Stegostoma tigrinum: one gene and its partners. The protein of the gene in region 3 purifies or fractionates together with the protein of the main gene of each other region. This does not show direct contact. Links are inferred from orthologs where the notes say so. Each region holds a gene or a part of one and is shown on either strand. Other genes may lie near its edges.

The links.
Region 1: the proteins of kif23 (region 3) and ect2 purify together in Homo sapiens (co-immunoprecipitation; 3 studies listed by BioGRID and IntAct, with this or other methods). This does not show direct contact. The link is inferred for Stegostoma tigrinum from reciprocal best matches to the Homo sapiens genes KIF23 and ECT2.
Region 2: the proteins of kif23 (region 3) and racgap1 purify together in Homo sapiens (co-immunoprecipitation; 10 studies listed by BioGRID and IntAct, counting the BioPlex papers as one, with this or other methods). This does not show direct contact. The link is inferred for Stegostoma tigrinum from reciprocal best matches to the Homo sapiens genes KIF23 and RACGAP1.

The regions. Positions count from the first base shown.
Region 1 is NC_081367.1:34,083,218-34,090,638, forward strand, and holds the start of ect2 (protein ECT2), read left to right. Parts: upstream 1-4,363; 5' UTR 4,364-4,571; coding exon 4,572-4,701; intron 4,702-7,421. UniProt on the Homo sapiens protein: Guanine nucleotide exchange factor (GEF) that catalyzes the exchange of GDP for GTP. Promotes guanine nucleotide exchange on the Rho family members of small GTPases, like RHOA, RHOC, RAC1 and CDC42.
Region 2 is NC_081404.1:14,134,096-14,141,238, reverse strand, and holds the start of racgap1 (rac GTPase-activating protein 1), read left to right. Parts: upstream 1-4,035; 5' UTR 4,036-4,046; coding exon 4,047-4,252; intron 4,253-6,199; coding exon 6,200-6,288; intron 6,289-7,143.
Region 3 is NC_081386.1:31,623,743-31,630,990, reverse strand, and holds the start of kif23 (kinesin-like protein KIF23), read right to left. Parts: upstream 3,041-7,248; 5' UTR 2,943-3,040; coding exon 2,932-2,942; intron 1-2,931.

The DNA of each region.
Region 1 (7,421 bases), on a different chromosome or scaffold from region 3:
AGACCGGAGAAATTACTGTGGGGATTCAGGGACATGGAACAAATATTTTGTCTTCATTTTATAGAAGACCAGTTATAAAAAATAGAGAATAATTTAAAGCTATTAAGAGTGATGAAATTCATTTCAGCAGAAAGAAAATACTGGAGAAACTTGAGGTACTAAAAGCCAACAAATCCCCATAATCTGATGGCCTATGTCCTAAATTTTTTTTTAAATAGAGATAACTACCAAGATATTGGTTTCCAAAGCGCTGTAGCTTCTGGAATGGCCCTCGCAGGTCACAAGTCAGCAAATGTAAAATTGATATTCAAGAAAGGAGCGAGAAAGAAAACCAAGACCACAGGCCAATTAGTTTAATCTCTGACAGCAGGAAAGCATTCAAATCTATCAATCAAAGTTTTAACAGTGCATTTAGAAAATACTTGTATGATTACAATACAATACGTCATTGTAGTTTGATCAAAGAGAAATCGTATTTGATAAAAGTATTAGCAATTTTTTTAAAAAAAACAAATAGCTAATAGAGTAGATAAGGGATAAGCTGCTGTATACTTGAATTTCAAAAAGATATTTGATAAGGTGCTACGCAAAGTGTTAATAGGCAAGATAAGGGCTTAGGGAGTTTGGGGTGTTACAATAGAATAAATAGAAAATTGTTTAATGGACAGGAGCATGGTATATATTCAAGTTGGCAGGCTATGTCCAGTAGAGTGCTGCAAAGATCAGTGCTTTATACAATCTTATACAAATTTATACAATTTTCTGTGAATCAGAAAAAAAACTTGAGTGTGACGTATCAAACTTTGCTGATGATTCAAATCCAAGTGTCAATGCAATAAAATCAACAACAGGCTGCAAAGAGGTAAATACAGTGAGTAGGAAATAATGTGGTATATATGTAATGTGAAGGTTTATGAGGTTATTTGCTTTTGCTGTAAGAACAGAAAAACAATCATTTTTAAAAAGCATGCATCTTGGACATGTTACTGTTTAGAAACCTTGGTTTTCCTGACACAGGAACACCTTTAGTATGTAAGTACAGCAAGCAATTAGGAAAGCAAATAGGATATTGGCCTCTATTTCCAGTGGGCCAGTCGATGAATTTAAAAAAATGCATTTGTACATTACACTTTAAATATTGAGTCCAATGTGACACCAACCTGATATTAGTGATTTAAAGAGGAGAAGCAATTCTCTGGTGTGTGTGTATTAAACACTTGGTCATTGACTGTCATGCACATACAGGCAACTGCATGCTGCAAGTATGTGCCATTTCCTATGCTGCACCAGATTTGCAAGCCATTTTTGATCTCTCAGAATTCTGCATACGAGACATTCTGTTAGTCCTTGAATGTTGCCAAAACTAAACTCATATATCAATCTAAACCTGGTCAGTCAAATATTCCATCCATATATTTTGAAAGAGAGACTCTGGAAGATGTTGAGCACTTCCGGTCACTTGGCAGCCACCTTTCACAAAAGACCACGATTGGTGAGGAGTAAGGCATTTGATTTGGATATCTATTACATCCCTGGTACCTTGGACATGCTTAGCAAATTAATAAACCTGAATAAAAATGCTGGAAGCTTAATTAGACTCACTAGTAGACAGTATGGACACAGATGGAAGAAGTACTTATAATCAGTCTGATAAATATTGGTTACCACAAATACAACCAACCTCAGGAAGAAACAGCAAATGATCCATGACTGAAAAGTTATACAAGGATAGCCAGACTCTAACGCTTCTACCTATGCAAAGTGGAACTAGATATCTCAAAAGGTGAATTACTAAAGGGAAACAAGTGCCTATACCTGAAGTTCTTAGCTAAGACCTTTCATTGTAGCTTCAGCGACACATGGACATCACACGATCAAGATGACTGGCGAGGAATTCTGTCCGTTAGCCAGAGATCAATGATGATGTCAAGAAAACATTGAGGATGTACAGGGTGCCAGAGTCACCAAGCAGAGAACACAAAGAACTTCTACACCCTCATGAGATTCCATCGTTCTCTTTGTCCAGATTTGCAACAGATTTAGTCACCATTCATAGTGATAATTTTCTCCTTGTCAATGAATATTTATCTAAATTTCCAGTTGTCACAGTTAAAGAAAATTTAGTGTGTCTTTGTAGCAGATATAATGTGTGAAATATTCAGTTTACTCAATACACCTTAAGAAATCATATCTAACAGTGGAGCACACACTACAGGCTGGCTTTTTTAGGGACTTGTGTGTCAAATGAGGCATGAGCCATTAGACAGCTTCACCAGATTATCTCAGATCTAATCGTCTTGATGCACAAATGATCTGCAATGTTAAAAATATTTAACATGGAGCACAGGGTGACAAAACGGAATGTTCATATTCCTATGTATGCAACACCTAAAAGGAATACTTCTGGATACGGATTTATCAGCAGAGATTGTCTTTGGAAGTCAAGTGAGAAAAAATCATGTTCTGACACATATGGGACAAATTTATTGAAAAAACAAGGGAGAATTAAGAAAAGATATGACTATCATGCAGGTGTGGAACGGCCTAATTTACATGTGGCACTGTGGATCAGCATCAAAAATTCTACCTGCATTGGTATCCAAAATACCAATGAACCTGTTCAGTAAACCTACAGTTTTCAAAATAACAATACCTAGTTGAGCAACATTGAAGAGAAACAGAAACCAATTGAGTGAAATGTACAACTGCACATAGAAAACAAAGGTTTGGAAGAGCATCATGACAATGAACAACACAAATAACTTGCAAGAAACTAACGCACATGCCAGTCAAGGGCAACCAAATGTGAAGTCTAGATATTACGAAAGTTATACCATTACACGATCTGTAGAGTTGTCTCATCAGCTTTTAAGAATGGCAAAATTTACCAACTTTGTTTCGTGTAAATAGTTTTGCAACCACCTAATGTAAATATAATTTCACTCAGTGCAGGTAGATTTACCATAGAGGCAGAAAATCAGGAATTTTGTGTTGCTGATTTAAGTTTTTTTATGCCAATGAGCCAAGTACCAGAATGATCAGCAGATGAGGATTCCAAGCAGCAGCATGCTGGACCAAGAATGCTTACATGAGTTGTATGTAAGTTTGTCAAGTAAACCTGTTTGATATTTTCAAGTAAACTAAACTTACGCTTTTCACTAATCCAATACGAGTAGTAATTCAGCATTAAATAAAACAATTCAAGAATAAAACTGCTCCTGGTAGTCATAAAGTCTGCCGAAGAGCGTGTCCCTTTAAATAAACAAATTTTAAAACGTTTTGTCACTGCCAAGAGTGAGCAATTACACTAATATGTTCACCCACATCATGCAAACTTAAAGGGGAAAAAGAGGACTACATCAAAAAATTAAAGATTAATATATGTTCAGTTATTTTAAAATAGGAAGTAGCCAAAAAATCAACATAAAATTCTGCTTTAGAAAACCGTACGTTCTGGCTTCAGATGCCTCTACATCTTTCCCCAAATCTGCAGAAGAATCCGACACTAACTGTGCTTCCAGGGAATGTTTTCTTTGTTGAATCAGCTGACTGCACGCGTTAAGTGGTTTTCTGTTAAGACTAAAGGGAACAAAAACAGAAATTGGTGGAGAAACTCAGCAGGACTGGCAGCATTTGTTGACAGAGAGCAGAACTAACGTTTGTAATCCAGTGACCCTGCTTCAGAACGAGTTTCTGAGGAAGGGTCTCCAGCCGAAACGTCGAACTTTCCTGCTCCTCTGATGCTGCTTGGCCTGCTGTGATCATCCAGCTTCACACCTTGTTATCTCAGATACTCCAGCATTGGCAGTTCCTACTATCTCTCTAACAATTTCTGCTTTAGTTTAAGATTTTTAGCATCTGTAATTATTTGTTTCATTATACATCGAAAAAATAAAGGGAAGCTCGGTTCTGTGGTTTAAGTTATAAACTGCCTGAAAAATAGTCTATAATTAACAGCATTGATATCGTGTGGTTCGACTTTTTCAAACTGTGAACTGGATATTTGAATATATAGTATATAAATTAATAAACGTAAACAAACGTGGTTTCTTTCAATATAGTGTATGACGCTGAATAGTAGTTCATTACATGTCCAATTACAAGCTTTATGAAACAATCACTTTTCCAGATTTTCAGTATTTGAAAGTCTGTGCTTTCCGAAAGCCGCGGACGGTCATTTTTATCCGTTCGGGAGGGCACGATAGTTCACTGACCAATCAGCTATGGCCTAAGTGCCCACAGCTCCAATCATCGATGGTAGAATCTTAACAGTTCCGAGAATGGCCAATCAGAAAAGGACCTTCCCGGCATCGCCGGCATCTGCGTAGACCAATCAGAGAGGCGTTTAGAAGGGTGGCCCGAAGTTTGAATTTGGTCGTTTGTTTGGAGGTTGCGGTGGGCTCAGGTTCCAAAGCTGTTAGAAGGTGAGGGAAAGCGCCAAATTTGAATTGGGGCTCCGCTTTTTCACGACGCTTGCCCACGGTGCTGTGTCGGGGGTTCGCTTGGATTGACACGGAGTGGTTGTGTGTGCCTAAACAACCCAACATTCGCTGCTTGCAGCCGGACTGATAATGGCTGAGTGGAGCTCAGCGGCCGCCAGCGCCGGGAGTCTTCTGGTGGATTCATCCGGTTTCGATTCCAGACTCGCCGACTCCTCCAAGGAGCACCTCCTGATCGAGACCGTATCGGACGCCGTGGAAGGTAACGCGGATATTTGAGTGAGGTTCCGGTTCCAATGCCCGCAAGCGGTTACGGCACGTCACTTTACAATCCCCCGGGCCTTATTGGCACTTGATAAAGATCCAAGCTCCATCAGAGGTCATCTTCAACGGAAGATGCTACAACGGCTATTCCGACTATAAAAAAACTCATGAATAAATCTGTTCGAAGACACAGCACAGCTTTTAGTTTAGTATTCATTCTGCCCAGTGTAAATCGCTGTAGCAAACGAATATACGTACATAGGTTGAGGTTCCTGAGCTGCTCACTATAAGTAGGTATTATATTGGAGACTCAGAGATAGCATCTGCAGTTCTTGTTGGAGTTAGAGACAGCACAGTGTGGAGCTGGAGGAATACAGCACTTTGTGCTGTTAGAATCATTAAAGCTTTCATCTCAAAAAGTCATTTGGCCCATGGCGACTGCATCAACAAAGAATGGAGCCATCTAAACAAATTTCACTTGTCAATAAAACAGTTTCAGATATACAGCCTGGAAACAGACCCTTCAGTGCAACCTATCCTTGCCGACCACATACCCTAACTTAATCTAGACCCTTTGGCCATATCCTTCTAAGCCCTCCCTATTCACGTACCCATCTGGATGCCTTTTAAATGTTTTGAATTGTACCCGCTTCCACCACTTCCTCTGGTAACTCATTGCATACACGGACCACGCTCTGTGAAAAAGTTGCTCCTGAGGTTCATTTTTAAGTAACATACACTAAGCCGATACCTTACAATTGTGGACCCCTCTGTGCTGGGGAAAAGACCGTGGCTATTTGCCCAAACCATGCACCTTGTGATTTCATGAACTTCTACAATGTCAGCCTTCAGCCTCTGATGCTCCAGGGAAATTAGCTCTAGTTTATTCAGCTTCTCCCTTTAGTTCAAACCCTACAACCCTGGCAGCATCCTTGCAAATCTTTTCTGAGCCCTTTTCAGAAAATAAAGCAGAGTTTTCATGCTGTGTAACCCCCTAACCAAGAGTGCTGGAAATCTGAAACAAAAACAGAAAGTGCTGGAGAAACTCAGCAGGCTTAGCAGTATTTTGTAGAGGGAAAAACAAACTTAACAATGCTGCCAGATATGCAGTTCTCCAGCATGTTCTGTCTTTGTCCACTTTTCAGTGTTTGGTCTGAGTCCGTGCACTTTGCCGATTTGAATGTACCTCCAGAGATTTTTTTTACTGGTATTCTATCTGGCAGTGAGTTTCAAACACACTGCCTCTGGGCAAAAAGTCTTTTTTTTCCCTTTTCTACCTGTGCCCCTCCCCAATCTCTTAAGATATTTGAAACCTATACCTCTTAGTCACTGACCTTGCTAGAAAAATACTTACCTAACTACTCTATTGAGCCCTTCACCATTTTCTACATCTTCATCAAATCTCTCCTAAGCCACTTCTTTTCCAAAGAGAATAACTCCAGTTTTCCCATTCTCGGTAAAATGCTTGCAAATGTGTGTGGCACCTGCTGTAGTGCAGTTACCAATTTTTTTAAAATCAATTTGTTCAGACACTCCTCTGGAGCCTTTAAATTCTTTATGTAATGAAGTGTCTAGAATTGCACAAGTTATAAATTATTTTATAATATAACTTGTGTAGATTTCCAGGGTAACCTGTCTACTCTTGTATTTCATACCTCATGCTCATAAATGAAACATTCCATATGCTACCTTAACCACCTACTTGACCTTCTCTACTACCTTTGGGATGTGTGGTCATTCACTCTGAGGTCCTTCATTTTCTTTGCACCTTTTAATCTACTCCTGAAAATTATACATTTCTTTGCCCATGCACATCATCTTGCAGCTTTCTAGGTTCAATTCCATTTGTCACTTGTCTACTAACCAGACCGATCTAATGGTTATATTTCTACCTCCTTGCTATCAATCATGCAGTCAGTTTTTGACATCTGCAAACTTTATCTTGTCTTTTGTTAATATATGCCACAAAACAGGACACGCTGTTCTGAGCCTTGGAACACCAATGGAAAGCAGCCTTCCAGTTAGCAAAACAGCCGTCCACAATTGCCTTTGTTTCTTGTTATGAGTTAGAGTAACACAGCATAGAAACAGGCCCTTTGGTCCAAATTGGTCCAAGTCGACCACAGTGCCCACTCAACTAGTTCCAATTGCCCGCATTTGGTCCATATCCCTCTAAACCCTTCTCATCCATGTACGTATTCAGGTGTTTCTTAAAGTTGCTATTGTATCTGCCTCAGCCATTTTTCTCTGACAGCCCATTTCATATACACACCACTGTGTGAAGAAGTTGCCCCTTAGGTCCTTCTTAAATCGTTCCCCTGTCACCTTAAACCTATGCCCTCTAGTTTTCAACTCCCCCTCCCTGGGAAAAGACTATATGCATTCACCCTATCTATGTCCCACATGATTTTAAGCACCTCAATGAGGTCACCCCTCATTCTCCTACCTTCCAAGAAATAAAGTCCTATCTTGGCCAACCTCTCCCAATAACTCAGGCCTATTAGTGCTAGCAACATTCTTGTAAATCATCTTTGCACACTTTCCAGTTTAACTCTGTCTTCCATTTCACAGGCTGACCAAAGGTATACACAATATTCCAAATTCTTTTTGACCAATGATTTGTACAACTGTAACATGACATCCCAACTCCTATGCTCAAAGCCTTGACTGATGAAGGCCAGCATGCTAAATGTCTTCACCACCCTGTTCACCTGTGAC
Region 2 (7,143 bases), on a different chromosome or scaffold from region 3:
TACCATGAGCGGAGTGTAGGTGAGAAAGCAAGCTATCCTTTACTTAGAAAAGACTCCTGCTCTTATATGGAAGCCCATCGCTAATGTCAAGAAAGCTAACAGGTTATAGTTCAACACCAGCATCTCCACATCAGGAAAGCTAACGACAGGAATATTATCCGAATATGAGTCAGACCAGCCAGAATGCAGTTGTGTCGAGAGATAATAAAGGCACGGGTGAAGGTTTTAGCTGCAGATGACCAACTTCGTTCCTGCCTCAGCCTAATGTTCCAGCTAATTATGGATATACAAAGGTTGCCAATCTAGATCCAAGTTGCATAAAGAAATGGTAGCCATGATACAACAGTAACAAATTATTGTCAAACCTTTCTCGACTGTCTGGTTAAAATCTTTAAGGTTTGTGCCCCTTTTCATTGGGTAGGTGAGATAAGACAAGTCGAACCAAGCCAGCAGGGTGACATGACTAGAACATTTCCAATCGGCCAATGAGGGAATCGACTTCTTTGCAAGGAGACGGGAGCGATCCCACCCCCGCCCTCAATACCTTCGAGATGATGGGAACTGCAGATGCTGGAGATTCCAAGATAATAAAATGTGAGGCTGGACGAACACAGCAGGCCAAGCAGCGTCTCAGGAGCACAAAAGCTGACGTTTCGGGCCTAGACCCTTCATCAGAGAGGGGGATGGGGGGAGGGAACTGGAATAAATAGGGAGAGAGGGGGAGGCGGACCGAAGATGGAGAGTAAAGAAGATAGGTGGAGAGAGTGTAGGTGGGGAGGTAGGGAGGGGATAGGTCAGTCCAGGGAAGACGGACAGGTCAAGGAGGTGGGATGAGGTTAGTAGGTAGCGGGGGGTGCGGCTTGGGGTGGGAGGAAGGGATGGGTGAGAGGAAGAACCGGTTAGGGAGGCAGAGACAGGTTGGACTGGTTTTGGGATGCAATGGGTGGGGGGGAAGAGCTGGGCTGGTTGTGTGGTGCAGTGGGGGGAGGGGACGAACTGGGCTGGTTGAGGGATGCAGTCGGGGAAGGGGAGATTTTGAAGCTGGTGAAGTCCACATTGATACCATATGGCTGCAGGGTTCCCAGGCGGAATATGAGTTGCTGTTCCTGCAACCTTCGGGTGGCATCATTGTGGCAGTGCAGGAGGCCCATGATGGACATGTCATCAAGAGAATGGGAGGGGGAGTGGAAATGGTTTGCGACTGGGAGGTGCAGTTGTTTTTTGCGAACTGAGCGGAGGTGTTCTGCAAAGCGGTCCCCAAGCCTCCGCTTGGTTTCCCCAATGTAGAGGAAGCCGCACCGGGTACAGTGGATGCAGTATACCACATTGGCAGATGTGCAGGTGAACCTCTGCTTGATGTGGAATGTCATCTTGGGGCCTGGGATGGGGGTGAGGGAGGAGGTGTGGGGACAAGTGTGGCATTTCCTGCGGTTGCAGGGGAAGGTGCCGGGTGTGGTGGGGTTGGAGGGCAGTGTGGAGCGAACAAGGGAGTCACGGAGAGAGTGGTCTCTCCGGAAAGCAGACAGGGGAGGGGATGGAAAAATGTCTTGGGTGGTGGGGTCGGATTGTAAATGGCGGAAGTGTCGGAGGATAATGCGTTGTATCCAGAGGTTGGTAGGGTGGTGTGTGAGAACGAGGGGGATCCTCTTGAGGCGGTTGTGGCGGGGGCGGGGTGTGAGGGATGTGTCGCGGGAAATGTGGGAGACGCGGTCAAGGGCGTTCTCGATCACCGTGGGGGGAAAGTTGCGGTCCTTAAAGAACTTGGACATCTGGGATGTGCGGGAGTGGAATGTCTTGTCGTGGGAGCAGATGCGGCGGAGGCGGAGGAATTGGGAATAGGGGATGGAATTTTTGCAGGAGGGTGGGTGGGAGGAGGTGTATTCTAGGTAGCTGTGGGAGTCGGTGGGCTTGAAATGGACATCAGTTACAAGCTGGTTGCCTGAGATGGAGACTGAGAGGTCCAGGAAGGTGAGGGATGTGCTGGAGATGGCCCAGGTGAACTGAAGGTTGGGTTGGAAGGTGTTGGTGAAGTGGATGAACTGTTCGAGCTCCTCTGGGGAGCAAGAGGCGGCGCCGATACAGTCATCAATCCTCCACCGACACTCTCATCCGCCTAGCTGAACTCGTCCTCACACTCAACAACTTCTCTTTTGACTCCTCCCACTTCCTACAGACTAAGGGGGTGGCCATGGGCACCCGCATGGGCCCCAGCTATGCCTGCCTCTTTGTAGGTTACGTGGAACAGTCCCTCTTCCGCACCTACACAGGCCCCAAACCCCACCTCTTCCTCCGGTACATTGATGACTGTAACGGCGCCGCCTCTTGCTCCCCAGAGGAGCTCGAACAGTTCATCCACTTCACCAACACCTTCCAACCCAACCTTCAGCTCACCTGGGCCATCTCCAGCACATCCCTCACCTTCCTGGACCTCTCAGTCTCCAACTCAGGCAACCAGCTTGTAACTGATGTCCATTTCAAGCCCACCGACTCACACAGCTACCTAGAATACACCTCCTCCCACCCACCCTCCTGCAAAAATTCCATCCCCTATTCCCAATTCCTCCGCCTCCGCCGCATCTGCTCCCACGACAAGACATTCCACTCCCGCACATCCCAGATGTCCAAGTTCTTTAAGGACCGCAACTTTCCCCCCACGGTGATCGAGAACGCCCTTGACCGCGTCTCCCACATTTCCCGCGACACATCCCTCACACCCCGCCCCCGCCACAACCGCCCCAAGAGGATCCCCCTCGTTCTCACACACCACCCTACCAACCTCCGGATACAACGCATTATCCTCCGACACTTCTGCCATTTACAATCCGACCCCACCACCCAAGACAATTTTCCATCCCCTCCCCTGTCTGCTTTCCGGAGAGACCACTCTCTCCGTGACTCCCTTGTTCGCTCCACACTGCCCTCCAACCCCACCACACCCGGCACCTTCCCCTGCAACCGCAGGAAATGCCACACTTGTCCCCACACCTCCTCCCTCACCCCTATCCCAGGCACCAAGATGACATTCCACATCAAGCAGAGGTTCACCTGCACATCTGCCAATGTGGTATACTGCATCCACTGTACCCGGTGCGGCTTCCTCTACATTGGGGAAACCAAGCGGAGGCTTGGGGACTGCTTTGCAGAACACCTCCGCTCAGTTCGCAACAAACAACTGCACCTCCCAGTCGCAAACCATTTCCACTCCCCCTCCCATTCTCTAGATGACATGTCCATCATGGGCCTCCTGCAGTGCCACAATGATGCCACCCGAAGGTTGCAGGAACAGCAACTCATATTCCGCCTGGGAACCCTGCAGCCATATGGTATCAATGTGGACTTCACCAGCTTCAAAATCTCCCCTTCCCCCACCGCATCCCTAAATCAGCCCAGTTCGTCCCCTCCCCCCACTTCACCACACAACCAGCCCAGCTCTTCCCCCCCACCCACTGCATCCCAAAACCAGTCCAACCTGTCTCTGCCTCCCTAACCTGTTCTTCCTCTCACCCATCCCTTCCTCCCACCCCAAGCCGCACCCCCAGCTACCTACTAACCTCATCCCACCTCCTTGACCTGTCCGTCTTCCCTGGACTGACCTATCCCCTCCCTACCTCCCCACCTACACTCTCTCCACCTATCTTCTTTACTCTCCATCTTCGGTCCGCCTCCCCCTCTCTCCCTATTTATTCCAGTTCCCTCCCCCCATCCCCCTCTCTGATGAAGGGTCTAGGCCCGAAACGTCAGCTTTTGTGCTCCTGAGATGCTGCTTGGCCTGCTGTGTTCATCCAGCCTCACATTTTATTATCTCAATACCTTCGATGCGTGATTGCGTCATTGGGGCGTACGTGGCACGTCAGGAGACCGTATCCTGATTGGCGGTTGAAGCAAATTTGAAATCAGGCCGCGAAAACGTCTGGAGTAACGGAGCCGGAACCAGGTGGAGAGCGGCGGACAAAGCGGTAAGGGCTCCTGGGGGAAAATGGGTCGGGAATCTAGAGATTGTTTTTGCTCTCCCCTCTTGAGATCGGTGCCGTTCCCCCGATAGCGGGATGTTGTTGATTTTAAGTTGGGTGGGCGATGGTAGTCGGGCTCCTGGGCCCCGTGGAAAAGCGGGAAGTGTCGTTCGTCTCCTTCCAGGATCTCCGCGATCAGAGAAAAGGCGAGCCCTTTGTGGTGATCGAGATATGTGCTGGGCCCTCGAGTGTATTAAAAATGTCTGTATAGCACTAGGCCATTGGCTACTTGATAAAGCCAGGTATTTCTCTCGCCTTCCCCATCTGTAGAATGTCCTAAAGTGCTTCACAGTAAAGAATGAACGTTTTCAACCGTAATTACTGCTGTAGTATAGGAAACACTGCGGCTAAATTGCACACAGCAATCTCCCGCAAACAGAAATGTGGAAATGAACCCAGATAATTGTCTTTTGTTATGTTAGTTTGAGGTACAAATATTTGCCAGGACACCAGAGGACTTCCCAGTTCGGTCACAGAGTGCCTCAGGATCGTCATGCAACCAAGCTAATAAGAACTGCAGATGCTGGAGAATCTGAGATAACAAGGTGTAGAGCTGGATGAACACAGCAGGCCAAACAGCATCAGAGGAACAGGAAAACTGACGTTTTGAGCCTCGATCCTTCATCAGAAATGGGTCTAGGCCTGAAATGTCAGCTTTCCTGCTCCTAAGATGCTGCTTGACCTGCTGTGTTCATCCAGCTCTACACATTATTATGTTGCATCCACACCAGTTTAATGTCTCATCCAAAAGACAGCACTTCTCTGACAGTGCAGCACTGCATTGGGAGTACCAGTTTAGATCTTGGTATTCAATTCTCTGATGTGGGAATTGAAACCAAGAGTGCTACTAATTGTTTTGTTAATTGCAGTAATATAGCTGTCAACCTTGTGTGTTGATGGATCTGCAGGCAAGAAATGCTGACTGGGTTGAGAAATGGAAAGACTTTCTTTCCACCCAGAGAAAGTGTAATGTGTTAACTTTAATGTTATGTGGTTCACTCTTGTAGCTTCAATGAAGTAATTTCAATTCATAGCACTGATTTTTAACCCCCTCACTGCAATCCTGATGCTGTACATTTCTGGTCTTGCATAGAGTGCTCTGTGTACTTGAATGGGATGTAGTTAGATATCAGCATTTATTGCTTCAGCAATAGCTTTTTATAAAGTTTTTGTTCAATTTGAGTTGGAGAGGCGCAAGATTCAAAAACAGAAATTTTAGTACTTTGAAGTGAATGGTTTCCCCATCTGTTAATGCTATAAGTTGCAACACATTGTGTCGTTAGAACTTGGATTTTAAACACTTAATAGGTCTGCAATACTTAATGTGACTGCCTCATCAAATTTGAGGGTTGTTTAAGCAATCTCTTGCGAATGCAGTTATTTTTGGAACAAATATTATTGTCAAAAATCTCTGTGGAATGACTTCGAAATCAAGGAGCTGCTGCTGCAGCACTGTTTTTATATTGCTGGAGGCCTTTTGGCTGCGATATGTCACTGAGATTCTTCAGTTTGTTTTAGTTGCTTCATTTAAATTCCATGGAAATTTTAGTCCTTAAACTGTTATCAGTTATAATTGGACATGATTTAGTTTAATAAAGTATTGTTTTTGTCACTATTTGCATCAAGCTGTCTTTAACACTGACTGGTAAAATCATGACATGCTCAGAATTTCCACGAAGTAAATATTAATAGTAAATTTTGTGCTGTTGAGTGATTGTTGGCATTGTGCTACTGTGTTTCTTTAAAAACCCTTCAGCTCTTGTCTTTTGCTGTGAATTAATACTGAGCTGGGATTTTTGAAATTGAGCTGGTGACGAGCCTGATCTCCATCTTTGGGCTGATGGCCATTTTATGATTTTTGTTTTAAAGCATCATCGGTAGGTTTATTCCTGCAAACATGCACACGATACCTTTTTTGTGACTTTGAGCCAACTGTTCATTCCTAGCAGATATCGGTGTGGGCAGAACATTGACCCTCACCTGAAGTAACTGTAGGACTAAAATTGAGTTGGTTGAAAATTACATTTTGGAGTAATTTGAATCTTCTCCTGGTTTTTCTCCCCATACAAGTCCAGTGTGTGAATATTGCAAGACAATATTGCACCAAGAATCTTGGTTTAAAACAGAGATGTGTGGAAGCTGTCACTTGTAGTTCCCTTGCTTTTCTTATGCATTAATCTCTTTTATAGGAAAATGGAATCTGCCATGGTCACTCTACGCAACATGTTCGAGCAGTTGCTCAGACAGATGGAAGTACTGAATGAAGGAATTGAACCTCGTAAGCATTTTTAGCTTTGCTAATGTTGGGGTATGGCCATGATCAGTGATGTTATTCATCTAGATTTCTGTGAGATACTTTGAATTTTAGTTTTCAGTATATTTGTATAAAACTGGGAGATAGGATACCAAAGCTGGCTTGGTGAGCTGTAAAACTGCATCATGAAGCTTTGCAGATCAACCAAAATATTTGGACTACCAAAGTAATTCATTAATTTTCAAGCACAAAGATTCAATTGTTTGTATTTCTGCCAGTACAATATGCTGACTCTTTTTGACTTTACCCAATGGGACTAAGAGAACCACTGACTTTGTATTAAATTATATTAAATATTAATAATTTGTCTGCCTGTGATTCCACTGTGCTTTGTATATTGATTCAATAGTTAATGTATGTGCATTTTCACTCACTGTTGAGCTTTTGTGTTGAATCTATTATCTTCTCTATACCTCCCATCACCACCCCCCCCCCCACATCATGTATATGTTCTGCCTCAAGCTGATCTCTCATTTTTCAATGTGTCAGTTTTGTAAGCATTTCAATCTCATTCCGCTTTGTCTCAGTATCAATTATAATCCACACTGCTCAAGTTTCTCCCCCTCAAATTTCTTGAGTCCTGGTGGTTTGAGTGGATCTGTTCACTATGTGCTACTTTGTGTCTAACCATTAATACCGGTGAACAAGTCTGACATGAAGAATAGCCCTTTTTAAAGCAGCTAGACCTGGGAAACTTGAAGAGAGAGCAGCAGAATTTGAAGTATAAACTCAATTTGGAAATTAGTCACTCTGGGTGTCACCCAAGCTAAAAGGGCCAGGGAATTGACCACACATAGATCTGGACAATGATTTACATAC
Region 3 (7,248 bases):
TTCTCCAGAGCAAAAGAGCGAGATCATTGTTCTCAGGGCTCCAGTGACAAAGCAACACTATTGAATGAATCCCAGGCCAGCCTTAACGCTAATATCATAGTACTGCCACAGAAGTCAGTGGAGTGCAGCAACAGCATCATTTAGTAAAGAGGATATTTGGAACACAACATTAAGTTGCAAAACAATTAGAGGCACAGTTCAAAGAGGCAGTGTCAACTTTTGTTGTTATTTCTGGCTTAATTAGAAGCATTCACTTCTGAATCATAAGGCTCCAGGTTCACAATCCTACTTCCAGGACTTGAGTATAAAAATCCTGCCTGATACTCTGGTGCAGCTCTCACTGCTAGAGGTGAGAGATAATGGGAACTGCAGATGCTGGAGAATTCCAAGATAATAAAATGTGAGGCTGGATGAACACAGCAGGCCAAGCAGCATCTCAGGAGCACAAAAGCTGACGTTTCGGGCCTAGACCCTTCATCAGAGAGGGGGATGGGGTGAGGGAACTGGAATAAATAGGGGGAGAGGGGGAGGCGGACCGAAGATGGAGAGTAAAGAAGATAGGTGGAGAGAGTATAGGTGGGGAGGTAGGGAGGGGATAGGTCAGTCCAGGGAAGACGGACAGGTCAAGGAGGTGGGATGAGGTTAGTAGGTAGATGGGGGTGCGGCTTGGGGTGGGAGGAAGGGATGGGTGAGAGGAAGAACCGGTTAGGGAGGCAGAGACAGGTTGGACTGGTTTTGGGATGCGGGGCGGGGCAGGAGAGAGGGAGAGAGAGAGATGGGCTGGTTGTGTGGTGCAGTGGGGGGAGGGGACGAACTGGGCTGGTTTAGGGATGCAGTAGGGGAAGGGGAGATTTTGAAACTGGTGAAGTCCACATTGATACCATTAGGCTGCAGGGTTCCCAGGCGGAATATGAGTTGCTGTTCATGCAACCTTCGGGTGGCATCATTGTGGCACTGCAGGAGGCCCATGATGGACATGTCATCTAGAGAATGGGAGGGGGGAGTGGAAATGGTTTGCGACTGGAGGTGCAGTTGTTTGTTGCGAACTGAGCGGAGGTGTTCTGCAAAGCGGTCCCCAAGCCTCCGCTTGGTTTCCCCAATGTAGAGGATGCCGCACCGGGTACAGTGGATGCAGTATACCACATTGGCAGATGTGCAGGTGAACCTCTGCTTAATGTGGAATGTCATCTTGGGGCCTGGGATAGGGGTGAGGGAGGAGGCGTGGGGGCAAGTGTAGCATTTCCTGCGGTTGCAGGGGAAGGTGCCGGGTGTGGTGGGGTTGGAGGGCAGTGTGGAGCGAACAAGGGAGTCACGGAGAGAGTGGTCTCTCCGGAAAGCAGACCGGGGTGGGGATGGAAAAATGTCTTGGGTGGTGGGGTCGGATTGTAAATGGCGGAAGTGTCGGAGGATGATGCGTTGTATCCAGAGGTTGGTAGGGTGGTGTGTGAGAACGAGGGGGATTCTCTTTGGGCGGTTGTGGCGGGGGCAGGGTGTGAGGGATGTTTTGCGGGAAATACGGGAGACGCGGTCAAGGGCGTTCTCGATCACTGTGGGGGGAAAGTTGCGGTCCTTAAAGAACTTGGACATCTGGGATGTGCGGGAGTGGAATGTCTTATCGTGGGAGCAGATGCGGCGGAGGCGGAGGAATTGGGAATAGGGGATGGAATTTTTGCAGGAGGGTGGGTGGGAGGAGGTGTATTCTAGGTAGCTGTGGGAGTCGGTGGGCTGCTAGAGGTGCCCTTTTTTTGCACAAGAATAGATCAACTCCTCTTAGGCATACAGTGCTGCCAACAAAAGCCAATTTACTAGAAATAAGGTAACACATCAATAAGTCTGACCTATCACAGGACTCTAGCATTCTTTGCAAGACCATTGATTGCGTGGAGCTCAATTTAACATTTAGACCTACTGTCTTAAAATCTGATGAAAACATAGACTGTCTCATTTCACCTCTAGTTATCATGCCAGCTACCTTAGGTGGGCCAGGAAAAGTTTCTCATTATTTAATCTTTCAAAACATTTCAAACTGTGCTTTCCCTGGTACTTTTCATGTAAGCCTAACATCTTACCTAAAACAAGGCACCCAGAATGAAAAATATTCCAGTTGCTTTTAGACCCATTATTTCATACTTTGAATTTTATAATCTAAGGCTTGGAAATCCCTGCCTTAACCTCATTCTCTCCCCACATTAAAACATTCTTTGCTTAAAGCTACCTGTGATCAAGTGGACATCCAAACTCAATTCCTTGGAGGTTGTTAAAGCACAGTTTTGTCCAGTTAACATTTCTGTGAATCATCTTGGAATGACACTACATGCAAAATACGGCACAAATGCAAGTTACTATATCAGAACTAGTCCAGATTTTCCATGCTTTTAAAACAAAAGGAACCTGCAGGGTTTTTTTTTGTCAGCAGGGTGTGTGTGGAAGTGAAACACTCAGCTACGATTCAAAACAGAGGACACCAGGATGACACACACTGACGAACCTCGGGACAGATGAACACATTAAGAAGCTGCTAATATAAATGCAGGCTGTTGTTGCAGCTCAGAGATCCCAATTGTGACCATAGTCACAAATAAAAGCAATCCTTTAAAACAAGTAGAATTTTAAAAATATTTACCGAGTAGGTAAAAATATTTTTAAAAATCAGTAGAATAAAAATTGAAACATTACACATCAACAGTAAGAACGAGGTTAAGATGGTACAATTTGAAAACAAAAATCAATTAAAAGTCACATTTTTCATGATTTTTTTTTGCTTGGAAGTGGTCACCCCGGGGGCGAAATAAAATAGTTTCAAACTTTAAAGGAGCCATTCATGGAGACTGACAAAAGAAGAATAAAGTTGAAGAACGCGAGAGCTGGTTAGAAGTGCGTGATCTAAAATCAATCGATCGAGAGGAGTTTAACCTGACAATCTATACTCACGTTGTTTTCATCGTTAGTTTTTAATTATAACAGACAGCGGGGCAATACTCCTCCCGCAGCCGCTCCAGCTACAGCTCTGCCTCCGCGCCGACACCAACCGCCGTCAATTCAAATCCCGCGCCTTTCCCATTGGCCCGGGCTCTCCCCACCTCCCATTGGACAGGCTCCATCCTCCTGTCAATCAGGCCGCGGGTCCGGTGCGCACGCGCACTTGTTCCCTTCCCGTACATGGTCTGCCCAAGGGGAGGGGCCAGCCAAGCCCATGCGCATCGCTGCGAGGGGAACTCAGCGGACTTCATCGGCATGGCGGAATTTGCGCATGCGCGCCGCCACGGCTTGCAAGCCGAGGGAGCGAGCGAATGCGCACCGCAGCCGAGTGGGGACAGTTGAAGTTGGGGATGAAGGGTCTGGGCCCGAAACGACAGCTTTTGTGCTCCTGAGATGCTGCTGGGCCTGCTGTGTTCATCCAGCTGCACACTTTGTTATCTGGGGACAGTTGAAGCATGCGCACCGCTTTTGCGAGGGGAAGCTGGCGCATGCGTATTGCCACAGCGGAAAGCTGGCGCGTGCGTATTCCTAGCTGTCAATGTCACTAGTGTCAAGGTTTATCATTAACCTAGAGCTTGTTTGATTTCTCCATTGTTGCTCGGATCACGAAACTATAGTTATGAGAAAACTATAGACTGGAGGCTTGTGACCAGCAATGTGCTGGGATAATGGGAACTGGAGAATCCAAGATAATAAAATGTGAGGCTGGATGAACACAGCAGGCCCAGCAGCATCTCAGGAGCACAGAAGCTGACGTTTCGGGCCTAGACCCTTCATCAGAGAGGTCCAATGTACTGGGTCCACTGCTTTTTGTCATTTCTATAAATGATTCGAATGTGAACATAGGAGGTATGGTTAATGAGATTGAAGCTGTAGTGCACAGCGAAGGAGGTTACCTCAGAGTACAGTGGGACCTTGATCAGATGGGCCAATGGGCTGAGGACTGGCAAATGAACTTTAATTTAGATAAATGTGAGGTGCTACATTTTGGAAAGGCAGATCAGGGCAGGACTAATACAGTCATAGGGTATGGTGAAAAAGCAAGTAAGTGCTTCACTACGCCAGGAGGAGGAGGAATACCTCTTCCAAGTGTTCAAGGATAATAGATATTCAAAGAACTGGGTCAGGAGATGCCTATAGGAACAGCATCAGAAAGATTCTACATGCCCCGACACACTCATCACACTACCCCTACATGAGGAATACATCAGAACTCACCACAAGACTTCTACGACCACTGGGCATCAGAGTGGCACACAAACCTACATTAACCCTGTGACAAGTGCTCATCCAAACTAAAGATCCACTCCCCGCCATGGACAGGACCAATTTCATCTGCAAGATCCCCTGCAGAGACTACGAGAAACACTACATCAAACAAACAGGAAGGAAACTAACAGCAAGAATACATGAACACCAACTGGCTACAAAAAGACACAACCAATAATCACTCACCTTAATCCACATGGACAAGGAGAACCACGACTTTGACTGGGACAACACCAAGATCCTGGGACAGGCTAGGCAGAGACAAGCACGAGGATTCCTGGAAGCATGGCACTCCACGAAGCAGACTCTTAATAAACACATTGAACTCGACCCCGTATACATTCCACTATGAAGGAAAACTGGAAGTGAGGCAATCCATCTTACCGGACCCCAGAGTTTAAAAACCAGGCAGGAAAACACACCGATGCTTCATCGGAGGCTGCACTGAGGATGTTACCAAGCACTGTAACGAAACATCTGCGAAACATCAAACCAGCTCGGCGAGCCAACCAACCTCAACACACACAACCTGAGCTACAGATCTACTCTAAAACCTTAGAGCTACATGTATGTTTCTATATGCTTTGATTTGCCTGAGGTTTGTTTGGCCTGTCGCTTTCAAGGGAATGACGTTCCAGATTGCACTCAATTGGTATTAAGGACCATTCAAGTCATTGTGACATGATCAACTGCTTACAGTCTCTGCTCACACGTGCCCTCAAACAGATGCTGCTGGTATAGCAGCGTAATTCACGTAATGGGGATTTTTAAATAGAACGTAAAATACAGGAGCAGAAATAGGCCATTTAGCCTATCAAGTCTGCTCATCATTCAATGAGATTATAGCTGATCTGATGATTCTCAACTCTACTTTCTTGCTTTTTCACCACACCCTTACTGATTAAACATTTGTCTATCTCAGCCTTTAATATAATTATTTATATACCTTGACAATCCTCTATGGTAAACAATTCCACAGATTCTCTACTGTCTCAGAAAAGATATCCCTCCTTATCTCTGACTTAAATGTGTGACCCCTTATTCTTAACTGGACTATCCTACAAAACACTACCCTGCTATATAACAGCCGTAGCCAGGCTTTCTTAAATTCTGGTATTTAAGCAATATCTTTCATGACTTTGACATTCAAAAAGTGTTATATAAGGGAGGATTTTTAAAACTTTTATTACTGACCTAATTTAAGAAACATGACAACCATTTTGCACACAACAAGATTCCTCAGACAGCAATGCAATAATGATGAGATAATGTTCTTTCGGTGATGTTGATGTGAGAGCTGGGTATTGGCCAGGAGACCAGGGAAAACTCACTACTACTCCTCAAAACATGCCCATGGGATCTTTTATCTGATGCCCTTCTGAGGATCTCAGCTCAATGTTTCATCCAAAATCCTGCATCTCTGATGTGTAGCTCTCGCTCAGCATTGCACTGGAAGTGTCAGCCTGAATAATTTGTTCGAGTCTCTGCCATGTGCTTTAAAGCCATGACCTTCTGTCCCCAGGGAGAGTTGGAGCCAGTGTGGACATTTTGGAGGCAACTTGACACAGCCCCTGACTGGCATCCAGATTTGGAGACTCTTTGTGAAGGGAGAATAGGTTCAGGAGCTGCGTTATCCTTAAAATCGGTTTGAAGGTTCTGGGTATCAATTGGGAACCCACCGTTTACTTTCACTGTTATAACCTTTGCAAATTGCTGATGAGCCACTGCTCTGGGTAGAAGGAGACATGTTTGGGAGCAGAAGTAAGCCTTTCAAGGCTACATCATTCACTATATTCAAGGCTGAGATAGATTTTTATTCAGTGAAGAAATCAAGGGTTACGGGGTAAAGGTAGGAAAGTGGAGCCAAGGATTGTCATGTCAGCCATGATCTCATTCAAAGGAGGAGCAGACTCAATGGGCTGAATGGCCTATTTCTGCTCCATCTTATGGAATATTTGATATGGAATATGTGTTCTGAGGAAGGGGCACTGGAACCAAAGCATTAACTCTGATTTCTGTCAGAAGGTGCTGCCAGACCTGCTGAGCTCTTCCAGCAATTTTTTTGTCTACTTATGGAACATCGCCTTGCGCAAAGCCGAGCCCTGCCACAATGGGTGCCACAAAGCCAGGTAGAACGTGATTGACACCTGGCCCAGCAGGAGTGAGCTGGGTGTAATGATCACTCCCTGACTATAATATACTTGGTGCTCAAGGTGCCAGTGGCTTGTTTGTGTAGTGAGTAGGGAAATGAAGCCTGTGCTTGTTTCAATTCTGAGCACTTTTGATTTAAGTATAAAAGTTATTCATAAATTATGTTTGAAGGCTTATCTGTCTGTGCCAGCCTCAAAGTGATCAATGATAAGATGCTGGGCTCCAATGGGAATTGTGGTGGAGTAGCAGTGATTTACAGAAGGTTGTGAGATGGGAAGTGGATATGGACCATGAGGTGTGTAGTTGGTCCTTAACAAGTGATTGGGGTGGCAGTGTGCAATACAGTGTCTGCCATGCTGAATCTATGCTGTGAGAATTTGTCATTGTGCCGTTTGACAGTGAAGGACAATTCCAGACTGCCAATGCTTGACCAAATGTATGGCCAGAGTTCAAAGTACAAGAGCCAGTGATGCCTGACAACTCCCAGATTTTGGAAAACTGCATTCAATTCTGATCTCCCTGCTATAGGAAACATGTTATTAGGAAAGATCCCCAGCCTCTGGCGGTGATTCCCAGCCCCCTGCAGCGATTCCCCTCTGGTGATGATTCCCAGCCTCTAGTGTTGGTTCCCAGTCTCAAGCGGCAATTCCCAGCCTCCAGTAATGATTACCAGTGTCCGGTGATGATTCCAGGCCTTAAGCAACAACTCCTGGCCTGGCACAATGGCCTGCCACAGCAGCCTCCAGGCATGGCATGGCAATCTCCCAGCCTGGCACAGTGGCTTCTTCCCATAGAAACATCATTCCATGGTGTGGGGAACTTCCAGCCTCCTGCATTGGCCTCCTCTTG